2 linked regions of the Schizosaccharomyces pombe genome follow. The gene in region 2 interacts genetically with the main gene of each other region. Each region holds a gene or a part of one and is shown on either strand. Other genes may lie near its edges.

Region 1 (8,724 bases), 3.5 Mb from region 2:
TTTTCTTTATTTCCTTCTCATTTTTTAGATAAAAAAATTTTCTGTTGCATTACATGAAATATAAATGCTTATGATGATTATTCGACTTTAATACATTTATCAAAGGCCTTTACCCACAAATCTTTTGTAAGTAACCGTTTCGATTAACCTCTTGGAACAGATATCTATTGTTTGTTTACTGAATTTACAACCTTCACTTGTTATTGCTCAAACCATCACAATTGATCATTTCTGATTATTTTCTTACATAAATTAATGCTCATTTTCTCTTTGATTTTTCTTAAGTGCTAATCCTTTAACTTATTAACCGCGGTAACTCATAAAGCTGATCTACTTCATGAATTCGTAAACTATTTCTTCTGAGATAATAAATACCCGTAGTTTTTTAACGAAATTTGCTCATGACTCAGTGACGAATAGTAGTTTTGAAGCTGTAAAGGATTTGAGGTCCATTGTTAGTATAATAATACACAACTTTTTACAGACGAAAGTAGCTTCAAGCAACAAATCGAATAAGGATTCAGAATTCGAATCAATTGTGTGGAAGTTTGTGCAACTAAGGGTCGTAAAAGAAGATGTAAACTCTGAATTAGCACAACATAGGACCTTAGCGTTCAGTCTGTGAAGAAGCCAAAATGATGCAAGTTAAGCAAAACAAAAAGCAGTTATGAAACTACTCAAAAATGCTCGAATGCCTTTGGTTTCCTTTTTCTCATAAAAAAATAATCGTTATATTATGATAATTCAGTATAGAAGCAACTGTCAGAAATAAAAATAAAAAATTCTGCATGTATTTTTAAGATAATGTATTAAGTGATTTGAGTTTTTATAAACTCCATTTATTTTATCTGAATTCAACCCTACTGAACTTGCAAGACGTACGTAGTCTGGGAAACACAGTGGGAAAGTACTTAAATACTTTTTGGGAAACTTGAACAGGTAGTTAAAATCAAAGTCACTCATATTGTCTATGATAATTTCAAACATCTATAAGGACTCTTGTTATAACATAGACTTCGTAAATGTGTAAAAGCCTTAGCATGAGCAGCGAGCAGCTCTAGTATAATAGTCGTTGTAAAATTCAGTGCCTAAACCTACACCTAAGAATAACTATCCAAAAGGAGCATAAAGTGTAGCATTAAAGAGAGATAAAACAAAAATACAGATTATTCTCTAAACGAAGATCTAAAGTCATTTTCGGGGTGTGTACTGAAATCGGTTTCCCAAATGACTTCATGTCTTAGTCGCTATAAAAATTAGGGTCTATTTTGGCCCCTATATCAAGCTGGAGTTTAGCATTTCTGACTTGGATTCCATGGTGTGCAGTCTCCTCTTAGGTGGAAGTCGGACCAACAACCACCAACATACCGCAACAATAGTTAGTCTCTGAAAAAAAATAGCTTCAAAAGCTATAGGCTTAGTTATTTGAGGTCTTACATATTATTAATTTCACTCTTTTAAAAACTGAAGGAATTGAGTCCCATAAGGTTTTCTTGGGGGTGATTTTCGAACGGAAATATCCCAAAGAGGATTAACTAGTCATACTGGTTTATTAAGTGATAAAGGCGTTTAATATAGAAGCTAAGGTTCGTTCAAACAGCAAGGACAGTATGTCCCAAAGGGACGCCAAAAAAGATGGGTTGCTGTACACAACGAATGGTGTATCACCAACACCACCGAAACGAATTCCTGTTCCTTCCCGTCAAAATAAGATAGAAGAGAATTCTACAACGAAGAATTTCCCCCATTCTCGACATACAAGCACTGTTGCTGGTACTGAGGGTGGCAGCTCACTTTCTCGGAGGCATACCTCTGCTGAGTCTCGAAAAGCGTTGCCTAATCAGCAACAATTAGCCCAATCTGGTTTGCTTAATAAAGAGGAGCAGCAAAGTCTAAAGCGATCAGATACTTCTGTATTTCCTAAGGCTGTAAGGAAAGTTTCTTCATCAAAGATATGTGCTTCATGTGGACAAGTTATATCCGGACAATATGTACGTGCTCTTGGAAATATATATCACTTAGAATGTTTTCGATGCCATGATTGTAATTCTTTAGTTGCTTCAAAATTTTTTCCTATTGATGATCCCACTCTTAACAAGCAAGTGCCTTTATGTGAAACAGATTATTTTCGGCGGCTTGACTTACTTTGTGCAAGTTGTGGAATGGCCCTTCGAGGTTATTATATTACAGCTTTGAATAAAAAATTTCATATAGAACATTTCACTTGTTCCTTATGTTACACTGTTTTTGGTCCGAATGATTCTTACTATGAATATGAGGGCAAAGTGTATTGTCATTATCATTATTCAACACTTTTCGCTGCACGATGTTGCGGTTGTGATGGTCCAATTTTAAGGCAATTTGTTGAAGTTTACAGAAATGGGGTATCTCAAAATTGGCACGTTCCTTGTCATATGATCTACAAGTTTTGGAATGTTAAACTTTGTCAAAAGACATCCATAGAAACTTCTAAAAAGAAGGATTCTGAGCTTTCTCAATCACAATTACGCAAACGGGAAAAACATTTAGAACAGAAAATATTTCATATTTGGCATGCACTCTCTTATTTTGAGGAGTATACAGCTTCGTGTATCAGTGATATGCTTCTCCTTGTTTCAAATGGAGAATTCACAAAAAGTGTTATTTGTGCCCAAAAATTTATTCGTTATATCGAGATACTTTTTAAAGGCATTGATTCGCTAGAAACTATACTTTCAAGTTTTCATGCTAAAAGTATGCCTTATGTTCGTGAAGCTAAGTTGCTTTGCAAGAAGCTAGTTTCAATATTTGCTTTACTTGCTAAATGCCATAATTCGGATATTCGCGACGTTGCTATTGTTCAAGACTTTTTATCACTCTTTACCGGTTTAGCTCATTACCTCAAGTTACTTATTCGGATATCGCTTACGGGAGGTTTACGACTAGAACAAGATCATGCTTGTAAGCATGCTCTTCCCCAGTTTTTACAGACCGTAGAAGAAGCTCGATTTGTCGATCAAGAAGGATATGATAGTTCTTCGTTTGATATGCCTTTAAATTTGGCCAATGCCAGCTCCGATTTATGCTATGTGTGTCATTCTGCCTTGGAGGAAGACTGTGTTCTCCTGGGTGAAATTCGCTGCCATATTGGCTGTTTGTCATGTACTAAATGTAAATACAACAATCGGGAGAATTACGATTGGGCGCGCTGGAACAACCAAACGAAACAAATAGAATGTTATTTATGTTATACTGAATCATCCAACGTTAGTAACGACGAACCTCATCCGTCTTTTGAGTATGTGAGCAGGCTTTCTCAATATATTTACTTGCTACGTATTGCCTTGGTTCGATTATATACTATACTTATGGAGAATAACGACTCATCACAGCGAAAGCCGTTATCTGTTGATCCAAAACAAGAGAATGTATCCAGTACTGTTGAAACAGCGAAACAAGCCGAGACTACTGCCAGTTCAGACAGTTTTCGTAAGTATGCCAATACTCTTAATGATTTGCGACATCTTAAGTCTTCCCGCAATCGTAAGGCCACCTCAAATGAAACCCAGTCCTCAAGCAATTCTACCGAAACATCTAAATTATCAAAGAATGTGTCAGAGTCTGGAAAAGACAAAAGTCCCCATTGGCATTCTCATGGTGGTTCTATTACTGGAAAAAGCATAGTTGAGCAAGCATCTAGTCCTTTGGAAAGAAGGATGGATGCCTTTGATGAAAATCGTGCTTTTACTCTTGATGATATTCCTAAAGTCATTTCAGAACAAAGAAACAGGGAACACCGACCAAATGCATTTAGGCATATGCCCAGTTATACTGATCCTTCCTATCGAAAGAATTCTGGGGCGATTTATGATAAAAATGATGGTACGCAAAAGGGTTTGACTCCTAAATCAGAAGATGCTCCTATTCGTTATCTCTCAGATCTTTCTAATTTAGAATTATTATTTACCAAGCACGTAGCTGTATTAATATTGCACCCTCTTGTACGGGATTATTATTCACTTGATGAATTGATGGAAATGAGCGATTTGCGCAAAGGTGGTTTCTGGGAAAAATTTGGAAAGGCTTTCAAGGGGAAAGATGCCGAAAAAAAGAACGTGAAAAAGAAAGGTACCTTTGGGGTGCCATTGGAGATTCTTGTTGAGCGTAATAACGCTCAGTCGACGGTTGGAACAGGCGTGGGTGTCAAGCATATTCCTGCCTTTATTGGGAATACATTGGCTGCTATGAAAAGAAAAGATATGTCAGTAGTTGGTGTATTTAGAAAGAACGGAAATATACGTAGGTTAAAAGAGCTATCTGACATGCTCGATGTTTCTCCGGATTCAATTGATTATGAGCAAGAAACACCCATTCAGTTGGCTGCTTTATTGAAAAAATTCCTTAGAGAGCTTCCTGATCCTCTTTTAACTTTCAAGTTATTTGGGTTGTTCATTACGTCTTCAAAGTTGGAGTCTGAGGAAGAACGCATGAGGGTTTTGCATCTTACAATATGTTTACTACCCAAGGGACATAGAGACACTATGGAGGTAATTTTTGGCTTTCTATATTGGGTTGCCTCTTTTTCCCACATCGATGATGAGGTGGGAAGCAAAATGGATATTCATAATCTTGCTACCGTAATTACTCCGAACATATTATATTCCAAAAGCAACGATCCTGTTGACGAAAGTTTCCTTGCCATCGAGGCTGTTCATCTGTTGATTGAGAACTTTGAGAAATTTTGTGAAGTCCCTCGAGAAATTAGTCTTTTATTAGATGATCCTACTCTTTTTTATAATAATGCGGCTTGGACATCTAAAGAACTATATAAAAGGTGTGAAGAAATAATTTCTCAGATGAGTCTTGACGAACGGAATACTCCAAAACATACGGCGTCTACAAAGAGGAAAAGGCAACCTATAAGAAGAGTTACAACTAATTTAACGTCAGACGTGCCTTCTGGTTCTGAAGTTGCTGACACAAATTCGCTTTCATCTACCACTAAAGATGAAGCTTCACCTAACAGCGATGCTCAGCCTAAACCTCAAGTTAAACCTCAGCATGCAGTCATTAGGGATTCCTAATTTATCGATACACAATCCCATTTGTCTTTTTTTGTTTTATCATATTTTCAATTTTTACTGAACATTAGATCAGCTACGAAAGTAGAAAGCTCGGTCTGGTACCGCTTACAACTTTGTCGTGTTGAATTCGATGGGATGATGGTACTTTAATAATCGTTCTTTTAATAAAAGGTTACTTGGCTAAAATAATATTTCAGGCAAATATAACTTTCGTTTAATATTTGAAGTCATGAATAACAATCCTTCTCCCAGAATTGTTTTAATAAAATCCTTTACTATATGTTGATTTTTCCGCGTAATAATGTAACATAAAATCATTTTGTTCAATTTATGCTTCTTTTTTGTTACGCAAATCAGTAGAAAGTTTACTTGAAATGTGTAGCAAGCGACCAAGAGTCCATAAGTAAATAGTAAAAAATCCGGCAAATGAAAGCGTAACATTAAGAATGACCCATAAATCGGGGTAACGGGATGGTGGTGGGATAAACAGATCAATTCCCAAAATAACAATCATACCAACATAAAAAGACTGCATCCAGTTAATACACCTGGCATAAAAAAATAGCAAATAATAAAAATAGTCTTACCAGTTGGATGAACCGAAAAAGGACGTTTTTTGAGAAAACTACCATGTCACCAATCCAATTCCACATTAATACTAATGTGAAGTATTGTAAACCAAGACCATCTTTTTTCAGTAACGGCCATAAGCTAATAAAAATATTAGTATAATTTAAACAGTAAATATGTATATTTTACCTGAAAACAGCAAGATTGTTTGCTAGAGCAATCCATGGTTTGGTTGTAATGTTTCCGTGACATAAGAGAATAGAAGTGGGAAGTAAAGGAAGAAGAACCGACTTTTCATGAACTTGGAAAGAGAACAAAAAAAACCCCCATGATGCACTTGCGAAACCCAGAGCTAAAAGACGTTTACGAGGATAAAGAAATAATATAACACAAGATGGGAGAATAGAAATGAGAGTAAAAATCAAGCTAATTACTTGGAGTTGATGTAAAGTAAACACCTCTCTAATTTTGAAAACAGTGTTGAGGGTGCACCAGAAATTAGCAACTTTATCTTCCCAAAGACCACGAGCAAACGGGAACACTCGATGAAGAATTTGAGGAAGCAATGTTTTATAGTCCATGTAAATCCATGGAAATAATATTAAGGAAAACGTAAAAACAACTGTGACTGACAACAAGATAAATCTTGAGAAACGAATCTTTGGCTTTACACAAGTTCCCAATAAGTAAAAAAAAATAGGAGGAGCAAAATATAGAGCCATCTGTTTAAACGTAAGAGCTAAACAGAAAAAAAACGTAGCAGCTACATATTGGTTTTTAAGCAAATTAGCGATTGCATACATAACTAAACCCAGCATAACACAGTTGTACTGAAAATGACCATGATCAATTAAGAGTAAAGCAGGTTGAAAAAGGACCATAATTAGGCTAGCATTTCTGTCCACAAAATTAGGTATACGGCGCGACCACCATTTGGAGTAAAACATTAAAGGGGGAACGAGTATTAGAAGATGAGATGCAATAACAGTAGATCTCATGAATAATTTTAATTCAAGACTTTCAAATCCACGAGATGTGACATCAGCAAACCATTCGGGGTTGAAAAAATAATGCCCAATTATACCAAAGAACCAAGAAACATATGCTGTTAAAGGAGGATAATCTAATCCCCACCATTGCAAATCTCTAAAATACCATTGAGACACAGGAGTATGCAATGTTAGTTCCATCCAATGTCTTTGCGCTTCAAAATCGCCATACATAGGAGGTGTATTATACCCAGAATAAGGACCGATAGATATAAGCCATTGCATGAAAACTAAACTCATTATAAGGCATGGAAAAAATAAAAATTTAGATGAATAGGATCGAAAACGAGAAACGAATTGTTGAACGGGAGCCCCATTCTCAAACTCAGATAGCATGTTTTAAGCGGCCGTCAAACGGTAAGGATTTCGCTTTAAAACTTTGGGTTTCTAAATTAAAATATCCAACTTGGAAAGCTTAAAGATTAAAAAACGAGTGAATTTGTATCCGGAATGTTTTAAACAAGGAAAAGCTAATTCAAAGCAGATACAAGTTGGGATAACAGTGAAATGGGTTGGGAACCACGAAGTGGACTATGGGTCCACCATTGCGATCATCGTGAAATATGGTTTTATAATGTCCAAAAAAATCAATTCACTTTTTAATTCATTCTTTCTTTCTTATTTTTTATTTTCAGTTTCAAAGCCTAAAAATTAAATACGCGCAAAGTTATCACTACATAATTGATCCAAGGGTGAGCAATAACATAAAAAATGAGTTGATAAACATGAAAATTAAGCTGTATCACTTATTGACTGATTTACTTTTCTCTTAAGATAGGTAAATGTTAGAATAAATTGAGCTTGGCAAGTTAGGAGTTTGTTTCAGTGATACTAGCCCATTAAATTCAATGAACTGAAATATATTACTTAATTGTTTGCTGTTTAATAATTTAGCTCTAACGAAAATCTTATTAGCAAAGAACATGCTAAGAAAAATAATTCCCTTAATACATTTACTATGTAATTGATCTCGAATTTGTAGCTGCAATTAAGAGCTTTGAAATTTTAAAAGTCTTTTCGTTCATGATAATTTCTAAAGAAAACCCTTGTTGGGCTAAAAAAAAAAGCGACGGTTTGACGAAAAATCATGCTTTTAAAACCAGAATTCATAATAATATTGTAAAATTATTTCTTGGTCTGTTACAGTTTTAAGTAAAAGCAAGCATTATCCTAATATTTTCTTTTTGCGTTGATGGAACACTGTGAAATCTCCATTATTTGTATAATTTTAAGCGATATTTACTAATCATATGTTTAGTTTAATTTTTTGTAAAACGATTTGAAATAGAAACTGAAGTTGTATAGTTACTAACATTATTTGCATTCTCGCATTGTTTGTATATTGTTTACTCTTCAGAATAATTTCAATATTTATGCTTAAGCTAAATGAAATATTTTCAAGGACTCACAAATAGTTATTTATATATTTTATGAAAATTTAAAACCTAATTAGATTAAATTTAATTAAAATACCCAAAAGTACATTCGTTTGAGAAGAGATACCAGATTGAATGAATAAAAACATACTAACTGCTTGGCGGGCAAATGAAATTCATTTGTACACTACAGTGGTTGATGCTGTTTTTAAAATCTAAACTTTTATAGCAATAAAGAATCATCCTCCCTTGAGTATTAAAGTGAAAGCAAAAAAGCCTTACTAGGCAAGAGCTTAGAACCGATAAACAACTATTCATTTAAAGGAAAAAAACAAAGATTCGGAAAGCATTTTGCGTTCTCTATTTTTTTAAAAAAAATTAAAAATATCTCAAAAGCGCAAAAGTGTGAATTCCTGTTTTAATTTTCAAACCGTAAACAAAATGTTTTAAATTTTAATTTAATACTGAAACTACTTTTATTAACTTAACGATTTTTAAGATTAGTTCCCTACTCCGCTGTTATGCAGATTAACGCAATGATAGGAGCTTATCACATGAATTGAAAGATAATAACAGCTTTATTAAAAACTTAACCGTACCCTCTCATTTTTCATCGCGTTTGCTGTTATTGCAATACTTATACATTTTTTGGAGGGAAGTTTTATT
Region 2 (11,389 bases):
GTCGATCATAGGATTGCAAACGGGCGATTACCTTCTTAATATATTCAGCGCCTACCTCATATTTTTCATTATAATAAAGTGTCATGCTAAGAAGCAGTTGTAAGTACATATCCACTTCCGGAAAAATTGTGTTGCCATTTCCATTTGTAATAGAAGTGGAAGAATCATCACCATTTTGTGGCATATCAATAAGTTCCAATAATTCATTTTTTAAAGAATTATCAAAAGAATAATACTTCTTAATTAACTGGCCTAAAACATCCGCATTCAGTCTATGGCAAATGTTGGATGTGGTTCTTAATGATCGATAGACAAGTCTGGGATCTCTTTGTTTGGTGGCTTGCATTAAGGCAGCAATATTTGCTTCCACATCTGATCCTTGTTAGAAATAAATAAATTTTGACGCATTAACTCACCTTGCAAAACTGTTCTTGGAACTTCAGTTACAGTGTTCTGTTTTGTTTCACCAGAATCAACATTTTCTTCTTGGTTTACAGAATCAACCTGCATATCTTTTTAACGTTAATAAATACAAAAACTTTCCCATCAATAACAAACCTCTCTGATCATCAATCATATTGATACTGGTACTTGGTAGTGGTTACGTTCAGTGGAGGGCATATGCCTAAGCTTACGACTCACTGTGCTGTATACTTCCTCCCTATGATTATAAACACGAATATATTAAATGTTCTATTTAGTAAAGACTTTTGAATGCAATATTTATTACAGCATAATAGACGAATAATGTTTGAACAAAGTAGAAGATAGTATCGAATAGTTAAATAAATGAAAATACGCGTCTTCAACAAACATTCAATAAACGTAGCATTGCTCACGATTAGTTGTTTCTTAGCACCATAATCGTTGTATACAACTTGTAGAATGCACCAGCAAAATGGTCCTAACAAGATTGGAGGAAAAAATTAACTCATGACTAGCTCATTTCAAACGGACGACATATACTAATTTTGACCCCTTTTAATCCCTAAAGCCAATACTCTCAGTATTCAAGCAATTCATTAAAACATTTTGATTTTAACTCTTTTCTCTTCTAACTTATGCAAATTCGCAAGTAAATTAGAAAAACGATTATAAAATTTCAGGCGTACAATCACGAATTAAATAATATGAAAGCAAAAGAAAAGTATGTTTCAAAGTTCGTCCGGAGATGAGTTGTTATCCTTTTCTTCAAACTCTTTATCTGATTGACTAGAGGCGGTTTGCAATACGGATGCTATCTCATTATCGTATGAAGTCCATTCAGAGACTTGCCTACGTGCGCGATCCAGCTTCTTTTCTTTAGTTAAAGGATTTTGACATAAATCGATTGTTTTGGCAGTTTTCAAACTTTCATCACTGCACCATGTCTCACACCAAAGCCAATCTTGCGGAAGAGAGTATATAGGAATAAGGTGTTGAAGGTGATTTGGCAAATCTTGATCTAAATTAGACAGGGAGTTAGGATCGGCAGACAAAAGTTGGTATTGTCTGCGAAGTAAATCACCCGCACCCATCTTCCTGAAACGATCTAAGTCTACAACATATAATGCACTAATGTGATATTTTAATCCACGTAAGAATTTTTTCCAGTATCCTTTTTTCCAGAATCTAAAACCTTCCATCTCTTCGCGAGAATCACACATGGGTGTATACCCATATGGAGCACCATGTAAATCCATATCCATCAATTCCTGCAAGTCAGCACGCACAATTTGATCGGCATCAACATAGATAACCTTATGCAATTCTAAAGGGAATAAAACATCAAGGAACAATATTTTGTATCCCCATATCTCACGTTGCTTTTCTTCTTGTTTTCTCAGCCAGTGTGGCCAATTGTAAGTAATATACTCATACTCGAAATTATACTTTTTGGCAATGGCCGGAATAGAGCTTTTAAAAGAAGGGGACAAAAAGTTCTCAATAAACCAGAACTTGACTTTTTTATCCGTATGCTCAATTACACTCTTAGTCATGATGTATAAGAATCTTTCATACAAGTGTCCGCTGGCAACAGAAAAAATATTTATAGATGCTTCTTTACGTTTGAAATTAAAGAAGCTGAGAGACTTTTTTATTTTATCGAAAAATTTATGGGAGCTAAGGTCTTCATCCATAATGTCGGCAGACTCAAAACCAGGTTTACGTCGCATAACCGGATTTAAGGTGACACCTTCAAAACTGTCAACAATTACTTGAGGGTCTTTATAGGAATTTTTCTTATTTAGCGACAGTATTTCATAAAACTGAGAAGACCGCCCATCCATAGGTTCCAAAGTCCATACGCCTGGGTTCGCCTTCAATTGAAAATATCCTAAATTTGATAATACAATTGTATCAGTCACATGGGAATTAGTAAGGTTGCCTAGCTTTAATTGCATACCCCTCGGTGGGCTTTTCCTGAATTCTTCTTGAGAGTAACCTTGTACCAAAATGTTTTTAAGTTCATAGATTGCTGTATGTGAGTCCAAAGCCTCTGCTTCAGAAGTGTGCTCTAATTTTATGTTGAAAAGATCAATGTCCACATCTTTTTGCATAACTGTCCATGCGTCTCTAGCTTCAATGTCCATTGTAAGCAGTGTATCAGCCGGTAAGTTGTCAAATTCTACGTAAGACTCCTCTAAATGGCCAAGCGCATCAAACTCTGGCTCCGCAGAAATTGAATATCGATAAAACCTTGTTAATGGAAGCTCAGACAAAGTTTGTTTAGGATTGAAATGAATTCGAACTCCTACGCCGTTCAACTTTGAGACTGCTTCAAGAATAGCTGACCATTTTTGAGAATCTTTTGAAAGAGGATCTAAAACTGCAACAAACTGATAATAAGCTTTTGAAAAATCGTCAGTTTCAAATGTAGCATTTCCAACACCAAGTTTATTGTAGATAAAATCACGAGGAAATAATTTTTCTTCCTTAGTAGGTGAAGAAGTACTCATGGGTGTAGATTCAAGCGTTTTTAAATATGAGCTAAGGAATGAAATAGCACGGCTGTTTTTTAACCTTCTTGAGCTTCCAGCAATGTTTGACAGTTTTGACAGATAATTATCGTATTCCATTTGCATTAACATTTTTAAGTCAGCGGTGTTCAAACTATCAACTGAGAAAGAACAAATCATCCGTCCGTTTAATAACAAAGCAGATTTACATTCACCGGTAAGACCCAACTCTTTAACAACGGCTTTCGATTTTTTTAGAAATTTCAATGCTTTATCCATATCGTTAACGACGCCAGAACTGGGATCGAGGCTGGAATTTAATATTTCTTGTAAATGCTTACTAGATCTCTTTGGTGATGATAACAGTTTAGCAAACAGAGGGGGTACAACATGATTTTTTCCTTCCTGAATCAACATAAGATTTGCATCTTTATTCTCCGAAAGAAGGTCGGCAAGTAATGAAAGTATTTCAAGCCCTTCCTTTTCATTAAAATCAGCAACTAGCCAGAATGAATATTTAGCATTAGAACTGCCGATAAGTAAAATATCTTCGTGGTTCAAACTACCAACGTTCTCCAAAACCCGTTTAATATCAATACTCTTGATACTAGATTTTGCGGAAGGGTAAACTAAAGGATTCCGCGTTAACGAAGCATCTCGCAAAATAAAATCTAACAGATTATCATCTTCAGAAATCTTCCCTTCTGCAACTGCAATTTGAACTTCAGGGATATCTTCTAAAAATATCCCATACATACTCCTATCGTAATTTTCATCATGAGAAATAATTCGGCCGTTGACTATGACCTCTGATGCAGAAGAATCTATTCCTAAACGATTAACCCAGCTATTGCTCTTAGACATATAGTGGTCAAAAAAAGATGAGGAAAGATCTTTTTTAAGATTAGCTAGAGTATCATCATCATGCTCGCTTAATGGAAGATGCTCTTCAAGCAAGGAGTACAAATCAGCACTAGAATCGCTGTTCAAACATTTATATAAAAATTTGAGAGCGCTGTCAGTTCCGCTCTCCTTCGAAATGTAGAAAAAGGATTTGCAAACAGTTTGAGCAAATTCATCGTCATCGTTAGCAGCACATACCATACCAGTCTGAACGGGCGAAGGGCGCCGTGAAAACTGAATAAGCTCGGAAAGAAGAGGTAACGATGAAGGAGAAGAAGGAAAAATAGGATAAATGACAGTATGCAGTTGTTTTCCGAGCATATGAAGCTGTCCTGGATAGATAGGTTTTAATAAAATTTGTATACTCTTGGGCCAATTGTCATACTTAGGGTTGCTTTCTATTTCGTTCACCCAATGTATGGCTTTCCAGTCCTCTATATCGTCTTGACAATGAAACTTAACAAACTTGAAATCTGAGTCCTCGTTAGCAAAAGCCTCATTAGTGACTATATCTAAGACCTTCGAAGATTTAATCCCTAGAGCTTCAAATCTATCAAACATATCTTTTTCTTTCTTAATTAAAGAGAGAATAGAAAAAGCATCCGTTTCCTCTAAATCAAGAGATAAACCATTCAACCAAATCGTATTAATGCCTTCAGGAACATATTGCGATTGAAATTGGTTCAGTTCCTCGATTAAATCATTAGAAACATCCGGTTGTATAGAAAGGTAATGCGCATAAATAGGAAAATCTTGTGTAAGCTCTCGAAAAGCAGTCAACATGTCAGTACTGCTAGCAATACTTTGTGTAGCTAATAAATCAAGTATTGCAATTTTATCAGGCGTTACAGTTTGTAGGCTGTCGGAGGTCATTCCAAATAGTCTCTCATTTGATCTTTTGTTGCGGGATGATGTAAAACTTGCTGGGTTATCTCCCTTTTCCCTTGGAAACTCGCGATCATCTACAACTAAGTAATCTGTGCGCTTCAATGACACATGGGTACCAAAGCCCTTAACGTAAAGTTTGGAGTTAAGTTTCGAGGAAGAAGGAGGAGAATATCTTATAACATAATTGCACTTTCCTTCCAATGCCAGCTTGTAATATAGTTCGTGAAAAGGAATAAGATCTCGTTCGAAGCTAGTTACAACCACTGCGTACGGAATGCCAGTAGCCGAGGTTTTTACAACTTCGTAATCTAGAGGATTTTTGCTGTACAGCTTGCTAAACAATGGGGAGTCCTTTGGCAAATCCGAAAAGCAAACCTGTGATTCTTCGTCAAGTTGTAGCCAAGTGTCACAATCACAGCTGCGCGATTGAACAATACTTGAAAATGCTTGTAACTTTGGTGCGCCAGAAAACAATCCCAGAGAAAACTGCAAGGAAGATAATTCTTCATCAGAAAGAACATACTCGCGTTTAAGTGAATTGACAACATTAATGTACAGCTCCTTTTCGGTGGTATTTTCAGCATCTAGTAAATCGCTCAAGTGATTTAAATACCAAATGAATCCCTCCTTCTTCTCTTGATACAATGACTCAGCTATAAGTGCAGAAAATGAAGGAGCGTTAAAAGTCGCAGCAATCTTGACATCTAAAGGCTTGGCGGCATAGCAAATCGTAATGAGAGTTGCAATAGCAAACCAAAAGCCCCATCTCATCTTATACTTATCTCTTTTTGCTTTTGGAATGTTTAGCTATTTTTTTGACGACAAAAGAAGTTGGCGGAGTAACTAAGTAGTTGAGAGGACTAACGCGACTATTTACGTGAACAGTTACTTGATCGATAGAACAGTAAACAAGTGGTATAATAATTAGCTATTTAAAGCTGTATCTAATTTATAATCTTACTTCGGCTTCCTATTTTGTTCTATGACTAATTAATTACCAAGGAATAATTTGCAAGTATTCGTAACTGGTCAGGCGCTATACAAAAATCCAAACTTCGAAAGTAGGAAGACTTTTCCATATTACTGATTACGAATTTTGTTAAAATAAAAATTCTTGACACAGGTTTTACAAGATCTAAATTCCAGAATGCTAAAAATAATCATTTCAATCCAGCAAACCAGATAAATAATCACCATAGATGAATTGGTTCCATGAATTAAATTATTTAATGTATATGCAATTGATAAATTTTATAATCATTAGCTTATATTACTTCAGTGAGACAATTATTGTTATTACAACAGGTTTCTAATTGTAACCCATAGTTGTGATAATGAAATAATTGATTAGCACATAATCAATAATAAATGGGGAAAAAAAAGTCCCTGTAGTCATTTTGTCATAAAAATGAAAAGCAACTTGTTCGTGTTAGTGTTGCACACCTCTTTTTAACTGAAAACGTGCAATATTGCATTCATGGAGCAATAAACTATTAAATAATTCAAATCAAAAAAGACCAAATTCCAAGAAAATGAATTTCGCGTCTGTTGGAGCAGACATCAGATGTCCACACTCTGAATATCAAAAGATGGGGGCGATCAAAAACAACAGTCAATGCAAGACCTTGTAAATTCAGAGAGCAAAGAAGTTTTGTTCCTTTCCTACGATAACTGCTTTCCATGTTGCTTAATTTAGGATCTTGGAGGTGCACCAGAAGGTAATGCGTACGGATGAACCATCTTTAAAACAATGTAACAAGAAAACGAGATGATGCTCGCAACAGTATAAAAGATTGTCTTCTTTATAGGATCCAAAATAGCAAGAATGGGATAAGCGTAAAATTTGTTCATTTGATAGCATTTCTCAACCCACAACATGTAACTTACTGCGATTGACAGATAGACAAGAAGAGAAGGACCAATAGACAAACTAAAAGGCGGTGAGAAAAAAAGGTAATCGATAAGTGTATAAACGGTAGGCATTAAATGTACGCTAATATCAAAATTCAGAGGAAGAGGCACAGGGCGATCTTTAGGGATTAAAAGAGACCTATCATAAGAAACTATAGACCAATACAAAATTGAAACAATAGTTTCCAGTGGACAAACAATATAAAGAAGGATATTTTTTAGCTTTACAAGTGTCAAGGAACCAGAAATATCAGAAAATAATCCTACTACCATACTCAACAATGTAACGGCCAGTGACAAAACAGTTCTACATAAAGTGTTAATATTCAGTAATATTAAGTAAGGTATCAGGCCAGACGTATGCGCTTACAAATGCTGAAAATGAGAACCATAGGACCTTCTAATAGCAACATCGCTATTGTGGTTAATCCAGTTAAACGCCCATATCAAATTCGCTGTCGCAACTGTATGCAAAATAAAAGAATTAAATCGTGAACGAGATATAGCCGAAGACATATCAATTGGGTATTTTAACGCTACGCTTCTTACGGTTTTGGTAGTGGTAAGTTGTGTGATTTAGGTCCGTTTCTACCAAGTGACACACCAATGGTCAAATATCCCCATACATGATAAAACAAGAAATACAATTTATAATGGTTTTAACTTACAAAGAATTAAATCGTCTAGATACGAAACTATCTAATTTAGCATCAATATACAGCAAAATGTAAAAAAAAGAGAAAAAGAAGGATAGCAATATTTTCGTAAATAGTGATTGTTAAGTGAAGACAGACCCCGTTTTACAACGTCTAATTTCAACGGTCAAGAATGTGCTGTATGCAAGTAGGTATTTGTTTGAGAGATCATTGTGAAAAAAGCTATGCTAAAATGTGGTAGCTTCTTTTATACTAGACATGTTTGAATTCAAAGATGCTTATGCAAAGAATCTTCTACCAGTACCTTTTTGACCGATACCACCGACATCACATACCGTACAAACTTCATTGACATAGCCTTTATGATATACGGCACCGCAAACGGAACAAACATCAAAATCATCTCCAGAATATACAGGAGTTAAAGTCTTGGGACAAATACGCATTTCAACGTGTGGATCATATTCGATTTCAAAGGCATCATGAGGGTTTCGGTCACCTAAGGTAATGGCGCGGTTGGCTGCTTCAGCTGCAGGACCACTTTCAGCAAGTTGCAATAGCTTATTTCCCAAAAACGATGCGGATTTGTAATTTTTCAGCTTATGTGAAGCATTAATTGCCAACCGTAGGGCGATGATGGAGTGCATAGGTTGCAAGTCCGCAGAAGCAAAGTAATAAGAAAGCTCGAGTGCACGCTTTGTATCCTCTTCTCCCAAACGTCGACGCTCCAACTCGCACGATAATGCCACTATATATCTACAGCATTCATCTATTAAAGCAGAAATTTCATCTGCTTCTTCCTCCGAATTTGCTACGGTAGTTAAGGCCAAGTAAATGATACTACGGAAGCAAATTTGTGCCTCCAGAATCTTATTAGCTTTCACCAAACGGTACGCTTCGTGAAGTTCGTGCGATTTAATAGATGCAAGATTCCTGGTAATGAATGGCAAGGCTTGTGAACGTTCCGCAGTCTCAGCGTTTCTACGAACATAAGAAACTAAAGGATCTAAGCCGCTTATAGTAGGTAAATATACGCGGGAGGCAGTGTATATTTCTAAAAATCGAGTTTTCAAAGGAGAAAAGTTGATGGCTCCAACTTGCTTGTTTAAAATCTTCATAGCACTTTCAAAATCACCGGCAGCAATATGATCGGCTGCCAATGGGGAATTCCTTTTCCACAAGAAAATTTCGTCCGCACCGACAAATGCAGATGCGTCATCAACTACATCGTTAACAGCTTCTTCAGGAGCCAAATCTTCGACCTCCCATCCATCAACTTCCTCCTCTGGAACGCTTTCTGCCAAATCACTCATTTCATCAACAACATCCATAAGACTTTGCTCAACTTCTTCATACTCTTCTTCAGATTCTTGTTCCTCTTGTCTTTCAATTGCAAGTTGCTCCATCCTCTCTTGTAGTGATTTTTCGAAGGTAGAATGAGAGGTGTCGAGCAAAGGCCAATTATGGGTGTATGTTTCGTTAACGGGTACAGGAGTCGTGAATGCTGAACCGAGAGATGGCAATTTAATTTCCTCTTCAGTCTTATTGCAATGTGATAGTATTTGCTGGGCTTTCTCTTCAAGACCGTTAGATTTTGCGGTAAGATAAGCGATAGGATACATTCCAGCCTGCTCTAAGATATTTATACGAGATTCCACTTCATTTAAATAGAGACTGTTTTGAAACAGACTTAGGGTATCATTCCTTTTTTCGGCAATTATTGCCATTTTTTGAAGCTTCTCAGCATTGCCAGTAATCAAATAAAGGAAAGAAAGTTTTTCAAAATAACGGAGTTTCTGAAAGGTAATTTCTGCAATTTTGTGGTTGCCATAAGACATAGCGTCGGAAGCTAAACGAGACCAAACCTCAGGTCGGTCAATCGTACGGGCAAGCTCTAAAGCAGTTTCCAAGTTTCCGCACTCTAATGCCAATTCAAATCGGGTGGATGGATCCTCAACGAATTGTAAAGCGATTTCAGGATAACCCTTCTTCTGAAGATAAGCTATAATAGCCTGACCAACGAGGTTAGAATTTTGAATTAAATGAAGAACTTGTTCGTAATCCTTTCTTAACAAGGCTAATTTGAACAAATATTCAGTGGGATCTATTTCAAAACTAACGGGTTCAGCAGCACGATTGAGAGCAAAAACCATATTTCCTTTTGCTTTGACCAAATACAAAGTAGATTCCAGAGTTTTTATGACACCTGTATCACCAGACATTAATGCATATTTAAGATGGTCTAAAGTAGCATAAAGTAAAACGTTATTCTCTACCCAAACAGCACTTTTAATGCGAATGGTTTCATGAATAGAGGTAATTAATTCCAAGTTTTTCTTCACAATGTACACGTAATGCTTTCCTAATAGAGCAGCCTGCGAATTATCATTTGACCATACAACATACTTTACGCGGTTGGCATTAAAAGATGAAACAATTTTCTTTTGTTGAAGATCAAACAAATGAACTTGGGTAGCGGTAGATAAGAGCACATGACCCATTCCAGCAAAGAAAATGTCTCTTGTTTTCTCAGGAAGCTGAATGGTCTTTGTAACTTTATTCGAAAGATCCTTAATCTCGATGGTTTGGTCGCTTCGAGAAAAGACAGCAAAACGATTACGTGCTACAAAAATCGCATCATCTCCGGGACCCTTAATGTTATCCTTCAAAGGCAAGGAATTAGACCGTGATGATACATTAACAAGTTCATAAACGCCATTATCAGCAGAAGAAGTAAGAAGAGCAACTTTCTCAGCGGGGTTGTAAGACAAAGAACGAGGAGGTAGCCATGCGCTTCCCAAGTGCTTAACAGAAGCGACAGTAGTACTTTGTGCGCGTAAAAGATCATAAGAAACAATTGACTTCTCCTTATTGACATAAAGAAGAGTATTGATATTAAGCGCATGTGCAGGGCGCTCACGTTCCAGCTTGAAAACCATAACACCACTATCATGAGCAGCTGCAAATAAATTCAATTTGGGATGAACAGTAATAAACCAAAAACGGTCGTTATCGCGACGGAAAGTTTGAACGGCGGTTCTTCTATTCAAATCCCAAACACGAATAGTTTTGTCTTCACTGGCTGACAATATGAGCTCTTGATGTGGGTGGAACAAGCAGCAAGAAACATTATTAAAATGGCCACGACACGTATCAACCTCCCAAGCTTTAGAAGCAGTCATACGCCATAATTTTACAAGTCGATCATCGCCAGCAGAGAGGATTAAAGGAAGAGTTGGATGGAAAGCGCACCAGTTCACGCCTCGATCATGACCTTCTAAAACAAATTTTACGATAGCATCTGTGCTACCAAATAAGTCATTAGAAATCGAGTTGTGGGCCTGAGCTAGCTGATCTTCAAGCGACATACTAACCGGAGCTGCATTCTTCATGCGAAGACCGCTAATGTCCCAAACGCGAACTGTTTGATCCAAACTGGCACTAACAATCAGATCCTCAGAAGGATGAAAGGCAGCACACATAACATAGTGAGAATGGCCAGTTAATATAGCGATACAGTTGCGGGATTGCCAATTCCAAATACGAATCGTCTGATCATCGGAACAAGACAAAATCCATGGATATTCATGATGGAAGGTACAAACACGAACGTAGTCCATATGTCCACATAATGAAAATAAAAGTTTTCTTGATTTGTAATTCCATACGTTCACTTTATAATCATCACCGCCTGACACAAATAATGGTTGTGTAGGATGAAATGCAATGCCACGTACAGGTCCATCATGGCCATCAAACCGATCTAAAAGCGTACCCATTCGATAGTCCCAAAGTTGAATTCTTCCATTGTGTAACGACGTCAAAATCCAAGGCTGTGTCGGATGAAATGCGACGCCTTTGGCTCTAGATGAGCGCGACTCAAATTTTGTTAGCATCTCCATATTCAAAGAAATGTTTTGGAGAGTTTGGAAGAAATCCCAATCTTCCAGTTGTTTGTTGTGGAGAAGTCGTTTCACTACCTTGGTCTAAGGGAGGTTGGAGGATTTACGAACCAAGCTGTTAAAACCTGCGTTATATCTATTGGAATTTTATAACCCAAAAACTGGATTTTCAGTTATTTTCTTTTAAGAA

What was found. Genes that interact genetically often act in the same process or in processes that back each other up.
Region 1: mutations in gpt1 (region 2) and alg6 impair growth when combined (synthetic growth defect), as found in Schizosaccharomyces pombe (2 studies listed by BioGRID).

What each region holds. Positions count from the first base shown.
Region 1 is NC_003423.3:4,194,685-4,203,408, forward strand, and holds alg6 (glucosyltransferase Alg6), read right to left. Parts: upstream 7,187-8,724; 5' UTR 7,019-7,186; coding exon 5,823-7,018; intron 5,775-5,822; coding exon 5,651-5,774; intron 5,593-5,650; coding exon 5,392-5,592; 3' UTR 5,064-5,391; downstream 1-5,063. Other genes in the region: Rho-type GTPase-activating protein Rga1, read left to right, coding at 1,611-5,063. UniProt on the Schizosaccharomyces pombe protein: Probable dolichyl pyrophosphate Man9GlcNAc2 alpha-1,3-glucosyltransferase that operates in the biosynthetic pathway of dolichol-linked oligosaccharides, the glycan precursors employed in protein asparagine (N)-glycosylation.
Region 2 is NC_003423.3:701,700-713,088, reverse strand, and holds gpt1 (UDP-glucose--glycoprotein glucosyltransferase Gpt1), read right to left. Parts: upstream 5,576-11,389; 5' UTR 5,502-5,575; coding exon 1,155-5,501; 3' UTR 663-1,154; downstream 1-662. Other genes in the region: 19S proteasome regulatory subunit Rpn3, read right to left, coding at 1-372, 417-512, 559-577; SPOM_SPBPJ4664.05 (uncharacterized protein), read right to left, coding at 6,423-6,948, 7,012-7,157; cop1 (coatomer alpha subunit protein), read right to left, coding at 7,576-11,199.